Saccharomyces cerevisiae S288C: one gene and its partners. The gene in region 3 interacts genetically with the main gene of each other region. Each region holds a gene or a part of one and is shown on either strand. Other genes may lie near its edges.

Region 1 (2,475 bases), on a different chromosome or scaffold from region 3:
TACCGAACACTAAATAGAAACCCTCCTGCCACGAAAAACTTCAAGATCGATAACTTTAATCTTAAAAATTTGACACATTTGAAGGCGACGACTCCGGGCCGATCGATGCCCTGAAAAAAAAAAAAAAAATAAAGGCGACCTCGTTTAAGGTGAATATGGAAGAAAATGGTTATATAATTGCTTGAACATTTGTCGTTATATATTAACAATAGCATCAACCGGTTTACTAGCAAGTGATCCTAAAATATGATTTTTTCAACATAGATATTGATGACCCATGTCGTTGAAGTGGACACACATCGAAGAATACCACAAAAGGAAGAGAGGATTCTTGTCCTTGCTCCGCCAAGTTGTTCATAAATATCACGATTGACCAGTAGTAACAATATTAATATACACTTACATATAATGAACTATTTATACTATCAAAAAAAAAAAGCTTTTTTTATTTTCGTTATTTCTTAAGGTTTATGGAATTTCGTTCGTAAAGGCGTTTGTCTCTAGTTTGCGATAGTGTAGATACCGTCCTTGGATAGAGCACTGGAGATGGCTGGCTTTAATCTGCTGGAGTACCATGGAACACCGGTGATCATTCTGGTCACTTGGTCTGGGGCAATACCAGTCAACATGGTGGTGAAGTCACCGTAGTTGAAAACGGCTTCAGCGATTTCAACTGGGTAGGTTTCAGTTGGATGAGCGGCTTGGAAAGAGTAGTATTGGGCCAAGTGAGCTCTGATATCAGAGACGTAGACACCCAATTCAACCAAGTTGACTCTTTCGTCAGATTGAGCTAGAGTGGTGGTTGCGGAAGCAGTAGCAGCGATGGCGGCAACACCAGCAGCGATTGAAGTTAGTTTGACCATTGTATTTGTTTTGTTTTTTAGTGCTGATGTAAGCTTAACAAGAAATAGTGAAATGAAAGCGCATACCTCAAAGATGGATAGCTACAGCAGCTCTATTTATATGAATGTCTTGCCAACTTCCCTGGCACAAACGAGTTATCATCTGGCACCCATCTCTCACCTAAAATGCCTCAGTGTACAATGTTCATCCCACATTCATTATTCATATTATTACGGTGCTTCTGTACTTGAACGATGCGTCTTTCATAGGTCCCGTATACGAGGCGCACGCTTCATAGTGCCTATACCTTTTTATTGCATTTCCAAGGCACAAGAATGTTTTCTCACAGTGTACATACTTCCGAAGAATCCCTTTAGGGTGCCTTCAGAGATGCAGCTGCAGCTTTTGGCCAAGAAAAAGCTAAAACCAAATTTGCTTTGAACCCTCGTTCAGAGGCCATCTAATCTTTGTGCGCTAAACGGTTGCTACGGGAAAATTGTAGATTCTGTTTTTCTTAAAATAGAAAGTGAAAGACTTATCGAATACCGGAGTCGTATATTGTAGGTGTCTACAGTCTTATACACTGCCAGCAAAAATGTTGACAAGAATAAATGAGCATTCGAGGTGCTACGAAGCTCTAGTTCTGAAACAGCGGAACTTCCACTGGACAAAGCTGACCATAGCGGAAACTATACCGGAAATTGATAAGTTAACATCTTAATAAGTATTGTATAATTTTTTTTGTAATACTAATAATCGGAGAACAGCATCAGCGCTTCGTATGGTAGGCAACGGTTGCCGCCTAGGTCTACGTTTTTCTATTCATTATATGGTACATGAAGGAGACAAAAAGTGGCGGATTACATACAGAACTTCTATCCTATGGATGTACCTGCAGTCTTTCTGTTTGGATGAAATTGATAGAGGGCTTAGTGTTACTAATACAGAAATCCTTTAAGCCTTTTTCTCCCTTTTATTCACTGTTTCAATATGTCTATCATTCTGGTCATGTGTTTTTCTTCGAGGAATTTACAACTATTACAGCGATAAGTAATCATACGTATCCAGATTATAGGCCCGTTGCTGAAGAATTACTACACTTCTCTGGTATATAGTTATAGCTCAATAACTAATGGTATAGGAGACACAGATTTTAGTAGTCAAACTTCTCAAAGGATAAGACCGTCATTCCACCTCTCATCTTCACTTCATTGGCTTTTAGATATTGATTGTGGGGTGTTAATGTTGTGGAGTTACTGAAGTAGCAAGAATCTTATGCGCTTATTTTCTTTTGCTTAATAACACTGTCTAAAGCAGAGGAATTATGGACAGATGATTGGTTTAGTTCATCTGAAGGCTAGACAATAAAAGGCGGGTTCGGAAGGGGGTAGGCATGCTCAGACTTGACGTAAACGCATAAGCCGGCAATGTTGAATCGATTTTGTAACTCGCCTGAGTGTTACGTGAGATTACATATAGGATCGAACTATCACGAAATCAATTACGCTGTGTTATTGAATCATAAAATCACAGAGCTTCCCGAGAAAACGCTAAATTATGTGTCAAGTACTGCGGACATCTCTTAACGCTATCTTATATTCATTTCACTTTTTATATCTAGTCCTTTTCTTT
Region 2 (3,563 bases), on a different chromosome or scaffold from region 3:
GTGGTAATAGAAATCACGGTAGATGAAGTTAAAATACCGGCGTATAAACCTAATGATGAGACTGCGATACCTTTTACAATAGCTGGGGAGACTTGCATTTGTTTTTTAGTATATGTAAGGATTCTTATGAGTGTTTGTCTTAAACTTGCTTTTCGTGAGGTAAGGGTTAAAAAATCAGCTTGGATATAATTTGGAACAATAGAAACTTCTTTTCTCTCATTTATATACTGATCAACTCACAATTATATAACCTGGTTCTTTTTTTTTTTATTTTTCAACAACACAATAGATTCGAGTATGGGTAAACGAAGAGAATTACTTCGGCATTAAGCAAGGGAAATATCGCGCAACCGCGCACGTAATTATTTTTACTAAACGAACAGCAAATGCAGCAGAGCTAATGCGATGCATAAGATACTTGGATTCTAAGATCTGTTAACTTGAAAATGCTCTATATATCTGTCAAAGACACTATATTGTTGTATACTAGTATATATCTTTTAGTCAATTTCGATTACTTCCGGGCTTTTGGGAGCCTTGGACTTGGACGAATCATGGTCACTTTTCGTTTTTCTCTTATTGCTCTTCCTTAGTGAGATCCCTTGGCCTTGGAAATTTTGTTCACTGGATTTGCTACCAGCGGCACTTTCTTCGTCTTCTTTCGGTAGGACCATTGGGAAACCAAAGAATAATTGGCCTTCAGGCAGATCTAGCTTGGCGGGCTCGCCATCAAACGTTATCTTCATATCTTTTATATCTTGCTTGGGCTCCGCTTTCGGAGCTTTACCAGATATGTTTTGTCCCTGACCTACAAATTTAGATAGTTTGTTTCTGCTACTGTTAGCGATACCCGCATAGTCGATTCTTGTGGACATCGATCCCTGGCCAAGCACCGAGGGATCCAAAACTTGGCCCTTACCAAAAGAATTCTTTTTTTCTTTATCTTGCTGAGCTTTCAGCGCTTTGTAATCCGGTTCCACATATCCTACAGGTGGAGCAAAATCTGTTACTAAATCTGTTTCAATGACACATATACTCTTCGATGATGATTCTGGTTTGACTTCTAAGATCTTAATTTTGAAAGTTTTACCATTGTAACTAATCTCAATAACATCGTCCACGGTCAAAGTCGAGAAATTCCTCAGTACGTTTTCCAAAACTGCTTTGGGGTCGGAAATATCCAAGAAATCTACAGACTGAGGTTCTAACTTCACAAACTGGCCCAGAGGTACATCAGTAGATGAAATTTGCAGTAGAGATCCTGGCTGTATACCCAAAGTTTCCATCATCCATTGTGGTAAGTAAACTCTGCCCTCTTCAGCAATAAATTCTAAAACACCTCCATGTGTCACACGTCCAGTTTCATTGGCAGTTAGTTTAAAAAGCATGGGGTATCTTATGTTCAACATGGATAGTTTGCTTAGAGCACTTGGTGGCAGGAATATTTTCCCGCCGAAGTTTGCGTCATCCTTCCGTATTCTATCATTCATCATAGCTATAGGGTAGCATCTAAAGAACTCCTCAAACGTTTGAGGCATATTTACAAAACCATTTCCGCCGCCAAAAGAACTAAAGCCAGAAAACATTTTTATTATATTTTACAGTATCACTTTGATATTTTTTCCTCCCTTGCTATGGTATGTGTTACTATCTATTGAAAACTACATCATTATCTCTTCCCTATTCACATAGACCAGCCAGGATTACTTTTAACTACCTTTATTTTTCGCCACCTAACCCAAAAAAGGAATTCTTCTCTTTCGTAGAACGCAAGTTTGACTTTTTCGTCGTAAAGGCGAGTTTCCCAAAGTGGACACTTTTTTTTTTTAAGGCGCTTCGGCTAGAAATAGAAGAACGATAATAATGGCAGCGCACTGTGTATAATAACACCAGTCAACAATGAATCTGAAGCTAGAGAAAGAAACCCTCAAGTGTATCTGTGATGGCAGCAGGAAAATTGAAAAAGGAACAGCAAAATCAATCAGCTGAACGAGAAAGCGCTGATACGGGTAAAGTTAACGATGAGGATGAAGAGCATCTATACGGAAATATTGATGACTATAAGCATTTGATTCAAGATGAGGAATATGATGACGAGGATGTACCTCATGATCTACAATTAAGCGAAGATGAATATAATTCCGAACGAGACAGTTCTTTGTTGGCAGAATTCTCGGACTACGGTGAAATATCTGAAGACGATGAGGAAGATTTCATGAACGCGATTAGGGAAGCAAGTAACTTTAAGGTAAAAAAGAAGAAGAAAAATGACAAAGGTAAATCTTACGGCCGCCAAAGAAAAGAAAGAGTGCTTGATCCAGAGGTAGCGCAATTACTTTCTCAAGCCAATGAAGCTTTTGTCAGGAATGATTTACAAGTGGCCGAAAGATTATTTAATGAGGTAATTAAAAAAGATGCACGTAATTTTGCTGCTTACGAGACCCTAGGAGATATATATCAATTGCAAGGAAGGCTTAATGATTGTTGTAACTCTTGGTTCCTGGCAGCTCACCTAAATGCTTCCGATTGGGAATTCTGGAAGATAGTCGCTATACTGTCCGCCGATTTAGATCATGTTAGGCAGGCCATCTACTGCTTTTCCAGGGTAATAAGTTTGAATCCTATGGAATGGGAATCAATTTATCGCCGGTCTATGTTGTACAAGAAGACAGGACAGTTAGCAAGAGCTTTAGATGGATTTCAAAGGCTTTACATGTACAATCCTTATGATGCAAACATATTGAGGGAGTTGGCCATTCTTTATGTTGATTATGATCGGATTGAAGATTCAATTGAGCTCTATATGAAAGTGTTTAATGCTAATGTTGAGAGAAGGGAAGCGATATTAGCTGCTTTAGAAAATGCCTTAGATTCTTCAGACGAAGAAAGCGCCGCAGAAGGGGAGGATGCAGACGAAAAGGAACCCCTTGAACAAGATGAAGATAGGCAGATGTTTCCTGACATCAACTGGAAAAAAATTGATGCAAAATATAAATGCATACCATTTGACTGGTCTTCTTTGAACATTCTCGCGGAACTTTTCTTAAAACTCGCAGTTAGTGAGGTCGATGGTATAAAGACAATTAAAAAATGTGCACGGTGGATTCAACGCCGCGAAAGCCAGACATTTTGGGATCATGTTCCAGATGATTCAGAATTTGACAATAGAAGGTTTAAAAACAGTACCTTTGATTCACTACTTGCCGCAGAAAAGGAAAAATCGTATAACATTCCAATCGATATTAGAGTTAGATTGGGATTGTTAAGATTGAACACAGATAACCTTGTTGAAGCTCTGAATCATTTTCAATGCCTGTATGATGAGACTTTCAGTGACGTTGCGGATTTATATTTTGAGGCTGCAACTGCTTTAACAAGGGCTGAAAAGTATAAAGAGGCTATCGATTTCTTTACGCCGTTGTTATCCCTTGAGGAATGGCGTACCACTGACGTCTTCAAACCACTAGCAAGATGCTACAAGGAAATCGAAAGTTATGAAACGGCTAAAGAGTTTTATGAACTAGCTATAAAATCTGAACCAGATGATTTAGATATTCGTGTAT
Region 3 (8,285 bases):
AGACCATTAATATTTTTTAAAGATACTAGCAGCTGTTTGGCCAGCAATGGACCGTCATGAAAAGATCTCAGGTCAATTTTATTTGTAACATTTTCCAAGACGTTGGTTGAAATTGGAATTTCGCTAATTGGTTTACCTGAATAAAGCTTAAACGTTCGATGACATAATAACAGTATATCAAAATCGATACATTCTGCCAATACCATCATCGTGGATGTGGCCACCGATGCAGAAGCAGCACCTAGCCCAGGATAAAAGTCGTTAGGATTCGAAGCTGATCTAATTATTATGTCTTGGATCAAAGGATTGTTGAGCAAAGCTCTAGAATCTGTTTTAGTCAACAGTACTGTTTCAAATTCATCATTCTTATAAAGCATTGCCCTTTCATTTTCCTTAATAGTCAACACAGCCCTCAACAAGGCAGTTGCTGAATTCATTAAACAAGCTTTGGGAATGGATTTTAGGGATGGATAATTGGCTATTATACGCAGGAACGCCATTGAGACCTTTCTAACCATTTGAATTCTTTTGGATGGTGACAGTGCATGATAAAATGGTAAGGTCCAAGAAAGTAAATCGGTTACAGAACCGGTAAGTTGAAAGTAAACTTCTGTTTGATGCTCAACAATTGGATTGTCTTGAATTTTGATTAGTTTGATTGGGAATGAATCTCTATTGAAAATTATATCCAAAATGCTATGGAATGTGAAGGGTTCAATTTTGGACCAAAACTCGGAGCCAAATTTATTCAAGAACATTGTTAATCCTCTTAACAAAAAGTCTAGTGGCTTATCATGATATGATTTGCTTAAGTGATTGTACCACATTTTAAAAATTGGCTCTAACGGAAATTTGAATGTTTTTTTTAAAGATTCCACATTTTTTGGGACCTGAAAGTACTCTATGAAGACGTCTTTATCAAATAAATTGAAAACCGGTAGTAATCTCGACCAGAATTGAGATACCACAATCTCTGTCCAGTTTGCCGGATTCTGTAAGAATAAAATATGGATATAAACTTCCTCAATAATATCCGGTGTCAGGTTAGAAAGATTTATATGGAAATTTCTTGAGTATAAATCCTTTAGAAAAGCTCGTGACCACTCATTTTCCTCTTTTGAACCTTCACACCAGCAAAATATGACACCTGATATAAAGGTTTTTATGCTTAATGGATTCGTAACGTCCAACAAACGATGCTTTGTGTCGTAGAAAAATTTGAAGATTGCTTCGAAAGTAGCCTTAAGTTGCTTGTTAAGCCTCAACATATGCGGATTACAGAGACACTCGTACATTGCAGTTTCAATTTCATTTGTAATGTTAATTCCCGTATTATCGTTAACGGAAATATTTCTAAGAATAGGAAAAACAGCCTCCACCCTCCATTGGCATACGATGTCATTAAACTTGGCTACATGTTCATGCGGCACATGTCTTTGAATGGCAAAATGTTGTAACATTTTGCACTTCCCTCTCGCAAAATTTAGAATGCATTTATCACAAACAGAGAGAATTGGATTAAAATGATTCTTCAGCCATGTGGCCGTAGCTTCTTCATTGAATGAGAAAATGGTTAGGGAAAAAATTGATATTGGTTCAAGTATGGGGTCGCAAAATAAATGCGTACCCTTGGGAACTTCTGCTAGAACTTGTAATAACTCCCCTAATAATTTTGCCTCTTGAATATTTGGATTTGTGCCTTGATAAACTTGTTCAATCTGAGGAATGTAAGACTTTGCCTTGGTATAGACGGTAGCTAGCTGAACATCGCTATTGGGGGCAATATCCTTATCCTTATTATTATTATTAATGTTGTTGCTATTATTATTATCAGGATTGTTGGAATTCATTTATAATAAACAGATGCGCTTTTTTATATATATAGAGATAGATGCCATACAGAGATGAAGTAGAAAATAAATGACAAAGTAGAGCTTTTTTGTAGGTGTAGATGATAAGATTAAAGTGCGGGAAGCCTTTAAAGTGATCGATTATTCGTTCCTATGAAGCTTCGTAAACTTTTCTAGTAGGTTAATATGCAGGAGAAATGACCTACACTAGAGAAGAATGAGAAAATGAAAGCTCTATAACTTTGAAACAAAAGGAATAAAGTTGCAAACGTGCACCTACAAAATAAACCTAACCAATGACCTTTTGTTAGAATTCCTGATCTCATCAACTTCTAACTTGTGGTTAATTTTTCAAGATCCTAAAATATGCGAAGAAAAATATAAATAAAAATTCATTCAGGGTTACCTTTACTATGTAACGCGTTTTAACTAAAAGAAAGACTTATTTATGCTTGCATAAAACTATATGATGAGGACAATTATACATTGGTCACATAACGCTTAGTGTTTTGTCAAAAACATTCTTTTTCCTGTGGGAAAGCAACATTTTGTTTCCTTTTTTGTTAGTGGACAGGTGAACATGATTCACTTTCTAAGTGCATTATTATCGCCGCCGTCTTATGTACATTACATATAATCAAAATACATCTTTCCTATAAAAAGGACTCACTTAATTTTATCATTAAAAGTACAAAAAATTTTCATTTTGACAGTTCGCCAATTTTTTGTTCCAACTTTAACAGGCGCTCATCTTTGTCAAGATTTGCTTTCGTTAATTTATCAACTACATCTTCTAATTGCAGAACCAATGTAGATAGTTTTTCGACAGACTTTTTTAAACCCAATGACTTAGGTGATGTCCTTGCCGCGGATGGCTCTTCCTTACTGCTGGCAGTAATGGCTGTCTTAGCAGCCGTAATTGAAGAAGGAGGTGTTGCGGATTTTTCCTGCTCAGGGGACTTTGTTTTCTCAGAGGACTTCTCTTCTTGAGGTAAGCTTTGCTCCTGTTTTCTATCTGTTGCGATAGACACTGGCTCTGGCTTCAATTCTTTTGAAGGTTCGACCTTAGGTGTGCGATCCTTTTTAGTTTCTGTTGGAGTGACTGGGGTTTCGATTTTGATAGGAGCTGGCTCATCATCGGCTTCTTCCCATCCGGAGGTATCCCTAGACGGATCTTCGGCGTTGTTAACTTGATCAATATCGGAGGATTTCTTCAACAACTTGTTGATCGAATTATCTTCCTTTAATACATGGTTGATTGTAGAAGATGAGGAGGCCGACTTTAGCGGTGAGGGAGATTTTGGAGCTTCTTGTTTCACCTCCTTTTCGGATTCGCTGATTGGCTTCTCCACTTTAGGCTGCTCCTTTTTCTCTTCAAGAGCTGTTTCTTGAGTTGTTGGCTGTTGAGGTCTTTTAGCCTCATGAAAGCTTGGTGCGGAACCGTCATAGATAGATCTCATACTAACGAGAATTGGACCTTCAACAGACTTGCCAGAAAACCACTCTTCAGCAGTTAAAGCTGGCTTATTGGAAGGTGCATCCGGGTAGATATCTTCTTGGAACTCCTCTGATCTCCTTGGAACAAAGAAAGATACCGGTTCGATACGCTGATCAACGACAGTCTTGAAACCTTTTAAGACTTCGTTTTCTTTGACGTTCACCATTCGCTTAGGCGCTACAGCAAAGCCTCTCTGTGCTTCTGTGGATTGGAATTCAGACAACTCAAACAGCTCGTCGTTTTGAAATTCGTAGTATCGAATATTACCATCACCTTTCCCCACCAAGTAAAGAATCTTATTCCCTTCGTCATAAAAGGGCATCAAAATACCTGATGATTGGTCGACAGTGTAGAAGCCTCCCAAATCTCCCTTTTCAATGTTGAAGGCATCCCAAATACCGATTTGACGATCACTCAATTTTGAAAAACCAGTAGTAGCCAATCTGTCAGAGTTTCCTAACCATACCACCCTTTGGTTTTTTGCACCCGTATGGGCAGGCCCTTCGCTAACAATTTTTTCTTCTCTGATATTCCAGACTCGTAGTTTCTTATCTCGAGCCACTGTGGCAAGATAATTACCATCATACGAAAATGACATGGATGTGACCATATCTGGATGTTTCAAAGTAATCATGTCCTTTCCAGTTTCCACATTCCATAATTTAACAGTATAGTCACCTGAAGAGGATGCTAATACATTCTCAGCGACGGGATGATAAAGAACATGTCCAACTTTCCTTGCGTGTCCTGTCAAAAACTTTACTGGTTTGATATCAATTGGCTCTCCATCTTCATCTACATGATCGTGAAATTTGTAGTTTTCCGGTATGTCCCAAATACCAATCTTAGAATCATCGGAACCGGAAGCAATCCTGTGGTCATTAAACGGATCAAAATCGGTATCCAAGACCTGCGCAGTGTGGCCTCTGAACAAAGGCACTTGATCTGGAGCCTTGCCCACTTCCTCGATCGGAATGACAGCGAATGCACCACCTCCAGAGGCATTCCAATTCACCGCAATAAATTTACCATTCGTTTTTAGCAAGTTGGAGTCCCATGCGTTGTTGGTCACTTTGAGTTTTTCATATTGCAGTTCCTTTTTGGCCGCTTGGCCAAAGACGTGTCTATATTTAGAAGCACGAACAAATTTTCCACTCATCTTGCGCCCTTCTAAGTGGAGTGTATCCTTTATCCCTTTTTCACTGTACTCTTTTGATATACGTGTACATGAATCTACTTTATTTTCTTCGAGAGTTAAAATAATATCACCGAAATTCTATTTACGGTCAAAAGTGAAAAATCACGCACAACGACACTAGAATTGAATAGTATAACATGGTATGAATGCATTTGGACTATATATGAGTAATTGTTTATATGCAATAGCGTTTGAAGTTATACATAAAGATATAGAGTTCGATTTTGAAATGATATAGAATAGGTCCTCCCACATTTCTGGCTTGGAAAGAGATTTTTAAGCAGAACATGCTGTAACCTAACCCAAGGCTTGATGATTGCTGCTGAATAGCATGACTTTACCTTTCTTCTTCCTGCCTCGCTTACCATTACTTGTAGGAGGAGAATCCGTCGAATCTGTGACATCCGAACTATCTTCCTGCCTTATTCGCTGCAATAACATATCTTGAAATTCTTTGTTCTCCTTTGATGCTTTTTCGTCTTCCGTCACTGCAATTGATGTCCCCCAAATTGTTCTTTTCGTGTGGGAGGGCGCTTGCTTTTGAGGAGTAGAGCAGGAATTTGTCGGTGGACCCAGCATAGAAATTCCTAAGGAGTTGAGAGGTATGGAAGAGCTTACAATGGATTCATAATGGGTAGCCATCTGTACAGAGTCTTCAAACTTGAGAGAATTGCCATTTTCCTTTCTGTAGAACTCGGCATGTTCTTGTTCCAACCTTTTTTCATATAGTTTCTTTTCCTTATCTTCCTTTTGCTTTTTCATTGTGAATTTTCTTCGACGTTGTTTTAGCTCATGAGCAAACTGTTCGTAAATTTCCTTGGGAAGGAATGGTATTTTACGCCAGTCCAAGTCTAAAAGGGCAATCTCAGTGCCGATTGGAAGGTGGCCGATGTACTTGTAGCGGCGGATTAATTGCTCCGTTACCACTGTATCATAATGTATATTTTCGACTGTCGTCTCGATGCTTTCTGGAAACTTGGAATAATAGTGGAAAATAGTCAATAAGATTTTTACATCCAGTGGAGATAAGAAGTATTTCGTGGACGATGCCACCAACGTCTGGTAGAAAAAATAAGCGGAAGAATCATCGTATTTGGTCAAGAGATCGTCATCAAAATGAAAATTGTCCAAACCGTTGTTAATATCGTTGGAAAGTGGGCTCAAATCAGTGGTTGCAGCCAGCAACGTCGAAATTTGATCATTGATATTTTCAATCGACTGCTTAACAAATTTTCCACTATCATTATAAATGGCCTTGTCGATTTCATATTGTTCCTGAATAGCAACAATGTCCTTTTGATAGAGCTCCAAGGAGTAAGACACGCCACACTTCATAATATGCGCATAATGCTTTATTGATCCTAAGTTTGCGGGAGGGAAATTTCCACATTTTAGAGGGTCTAAATGTAAGGCTACTGGCAAAGGTAATAGTGAACCGTGTGGTTTACACATCAGTTGTAGATGTACTGTGGCACCAGGTTCGGGTTTTTGATTTAACCTGGTTACATCAAAGTCGTCCTCATACAGAACAGGCTTGACCCTTTTAGGGCCAATAATACTTCCACAAAGCGGGCATTCTTTATATTTCTTCTTCTTTGAGTACCCAGTCTCTTTATTTTTGACGGTTTCTTCAATGGAGAAAAAGTTCAAGAGACAACTTAGACAGAAAATATGGCCACAAGTAACCATTCTGGGAGCCACCGGTTCCTCGCTCAGACAAATAGAACAATTCTGACCCTTTGGCACTATGACTCTTAGAATCTTTTCTTGATCGACAGGAACGTTCGGGTTACAGTTTTGCTCTGGGTAGTCAAAACGATCATCTACCAAAAGACGGTAATTAACATTAACAAATGTGTCACCGTGTAAATGTACGTGCTCATCGCGTCTCCTATTCGATTTCTTACTTGAAGAGGACCTACTTTTTTCCCTTTCGACTTCAGGTAACTGGAAATTCAACAAATGATTAATGGAAACTTGAGTTTTCCTGCCTCGTAATTTGAAATTACCACCAAGAATTTCTTCCTGGATAGATAAATCTATATCTTGATCATTGATCCTAGTACTAGTCTCCTTATAGGGCGTTCTTGACCTCTGTTGTTTGCTACTTTTTCTGCGGCCTTCCCCGTGATAATTATGTGCATTATCTCTTCCATCAGAGACCTTATTCCCTGGTTTCTTTTTACTGACCGGATTCCTTTTATTATTTGAAACTCCTTGTTTACTACTGTTGCTGGTAGCATTTAAAGTATCCATCTCGGAACCGCCACTGCCACCACTTGCCTTCTTCTGCATGTCCGGTTCTACCATCAAAAGTGTTAAGATTAGTAACAGATTCTACTACTATATCTTTATTTTATCAGTGCACCGTGGTCCACATCCAACGGTGTTTACGATATAGCTTACCCCTCTACACGTGGCTTCTCAGAAGTGTTTATTATAATGTTTGCTTCATCACCTTTTTTTACACGGGCCTGAACGAGCACTTTTCAAAATACAATTAATGCCCAAAAATATGAGCAACGGTAATGAGGGCGTGCATAATTGCAAAGAATGTATAAGCAAACACCAAGGCTGTCTACTCGGATTCATCTATAAATATTCTATTTACTATGTATAGCTTTCTACTCGTCCGGGAGGCAGCAATCTATGCGAGAGAAGCTTCTTACAATGCGTTGTAGCGAATAAGGTACGCACATCAAAAGATGAGCAAAACTACAATAAAAGGGTTCATTTAGCTGTCCCCTCTGACCCAGCTCACAATAACGGACTATCTTGGCAGCTAGAGTAGTAATGTCTATTACAGGGGCAAAGAACTGGCGAGGAGGCTTGAATCCTGCAAACATTTCCGTATTCAGTTGCCCTGGGGTCACTAATAGTGTTCTGATATTTCTTACGCCTTCGTTTTGCAATTCAAAACTGTACGACTGATGAAAGGCTATCAATGCTGCTTTGCTCGCCGCATAAGCTGCTACTTTGGCCGGCGTCAATATGCCCAAAATGCTTGCGATATTGACAATATAACACTGTCTAGTTGAGTGTCTACTAGGGGCCAGTTCTTGAATGAACTGAAGTGGTGCAAATGTGTTTATCTTAAAAATCTTATCAAGATTATCCCGTTCCATGCCGTTGAATCCGGTGAAGTTGGCCCTTACTCCAGCATTGTTCACAATCAATCGGATTTCATTTTTATACTTTCTTTTCAACAAATTCAGTAGTGCTGCAACTTCTTCATCATCACTCAGGTCGCAGATGAGATCCTTCACGCGAGTATTCCTCACTGATGATGGGCATATGTCGACATTCAAGATGGTCAGGTTGCTGTAGTCTTGTAGGAGTTGAGATACTATGGCCCGTCCAAGTCCTTTACTTCCTCCAGTAATAAGAACTATGCCATTCTTAAATTCACGAAGGCTCTTCCAGGCGACCTGTCCCGACCGCTTTATATAGGAATTAGCAATGAGGAATGCATTTATCAGTAGTGTATAGATTGTTAGACAAATGCTTATCGAGTCGCTTAGAGACCTAGGTTAGTTCGTCATGTTAGTATAAAAAACGCTGTTTCTAACCTCATGCCTATTTTCTACTTTACATACCATCTCAATACAAGAGCTACCAGAAGTGGATAGCGCAGCAGTGGCAGAACTACCCAACGACACAAACAGTCTATATTCATCACCAGAACTTCACCTTTTCCTCACAGCCGTATTATCACATATTAATGTATCTGTTCTACTGA

Evidence for each region. Genes that interact genetically often act in the same process or in processes that back each other up.
Region 1: mutations in CRN1 (region 3) and PAU12 together harm fitness more than expected from each alone (negative genetic interaction), as found in Saccharomyces cerevisiae (2 studies listed by BioGRID).
Region 2: mutations in CRN1 (region 3) and UFD1 together harm fitness more than expected from each alone (negative genetic interaction), as found in Saccharomyces cerevisiae (2 studies listed by BioGRID).

Annotation. Positions count from the first base shown.
Region 1 is NC_001139.9:1,078,694-1,081,168, reverse strand, and holds PAU12 (seripauperin PAU12), read right to left. Parts: upstream 864-2,475; coding exon 501-863; downstream 1-500.
Region 2 is NC_001139.9:587,849-591,411, reverse strand, and holds UFD1 (polyubiquitin-binding protein UFD1), read right to left. Parts: upstream 1,587-3,563; coding exon 501-1,586; downstream 1-500. Other genes in the region: SCM4 (Scm4p), read right to left, coding at 1-98; transcription factor TFIIIC subunit TFC4, read left to right, coding at 1,943-3,563. UniProt on the Saccharomyces cerevisiae protein: Functions at a post-ubiquitation step in the ubiquitin fusion degradation (UFD) pathway. Has a role in the endoplasmic reticulum-associated degradation (ERAD) pathway.
Region 3 is NC_001144.5:986,999-995,283, reverse strand, and holds CRN1 (coronin), read right to left. Parts: upstream 4,508-8,285; coding exon 2,552-4,507; downstream 1-2,551. Other genes in the region: DNA/RNA helicase SEN1, read right to left, coding at 1-1,850; RING-type E3 ubiquitin transferase MAG2, read right to left, coding at 4,844-6,856; TDA5 (Tda5p), read right to left, coding at 7,171-8,071, 8,143-8,222.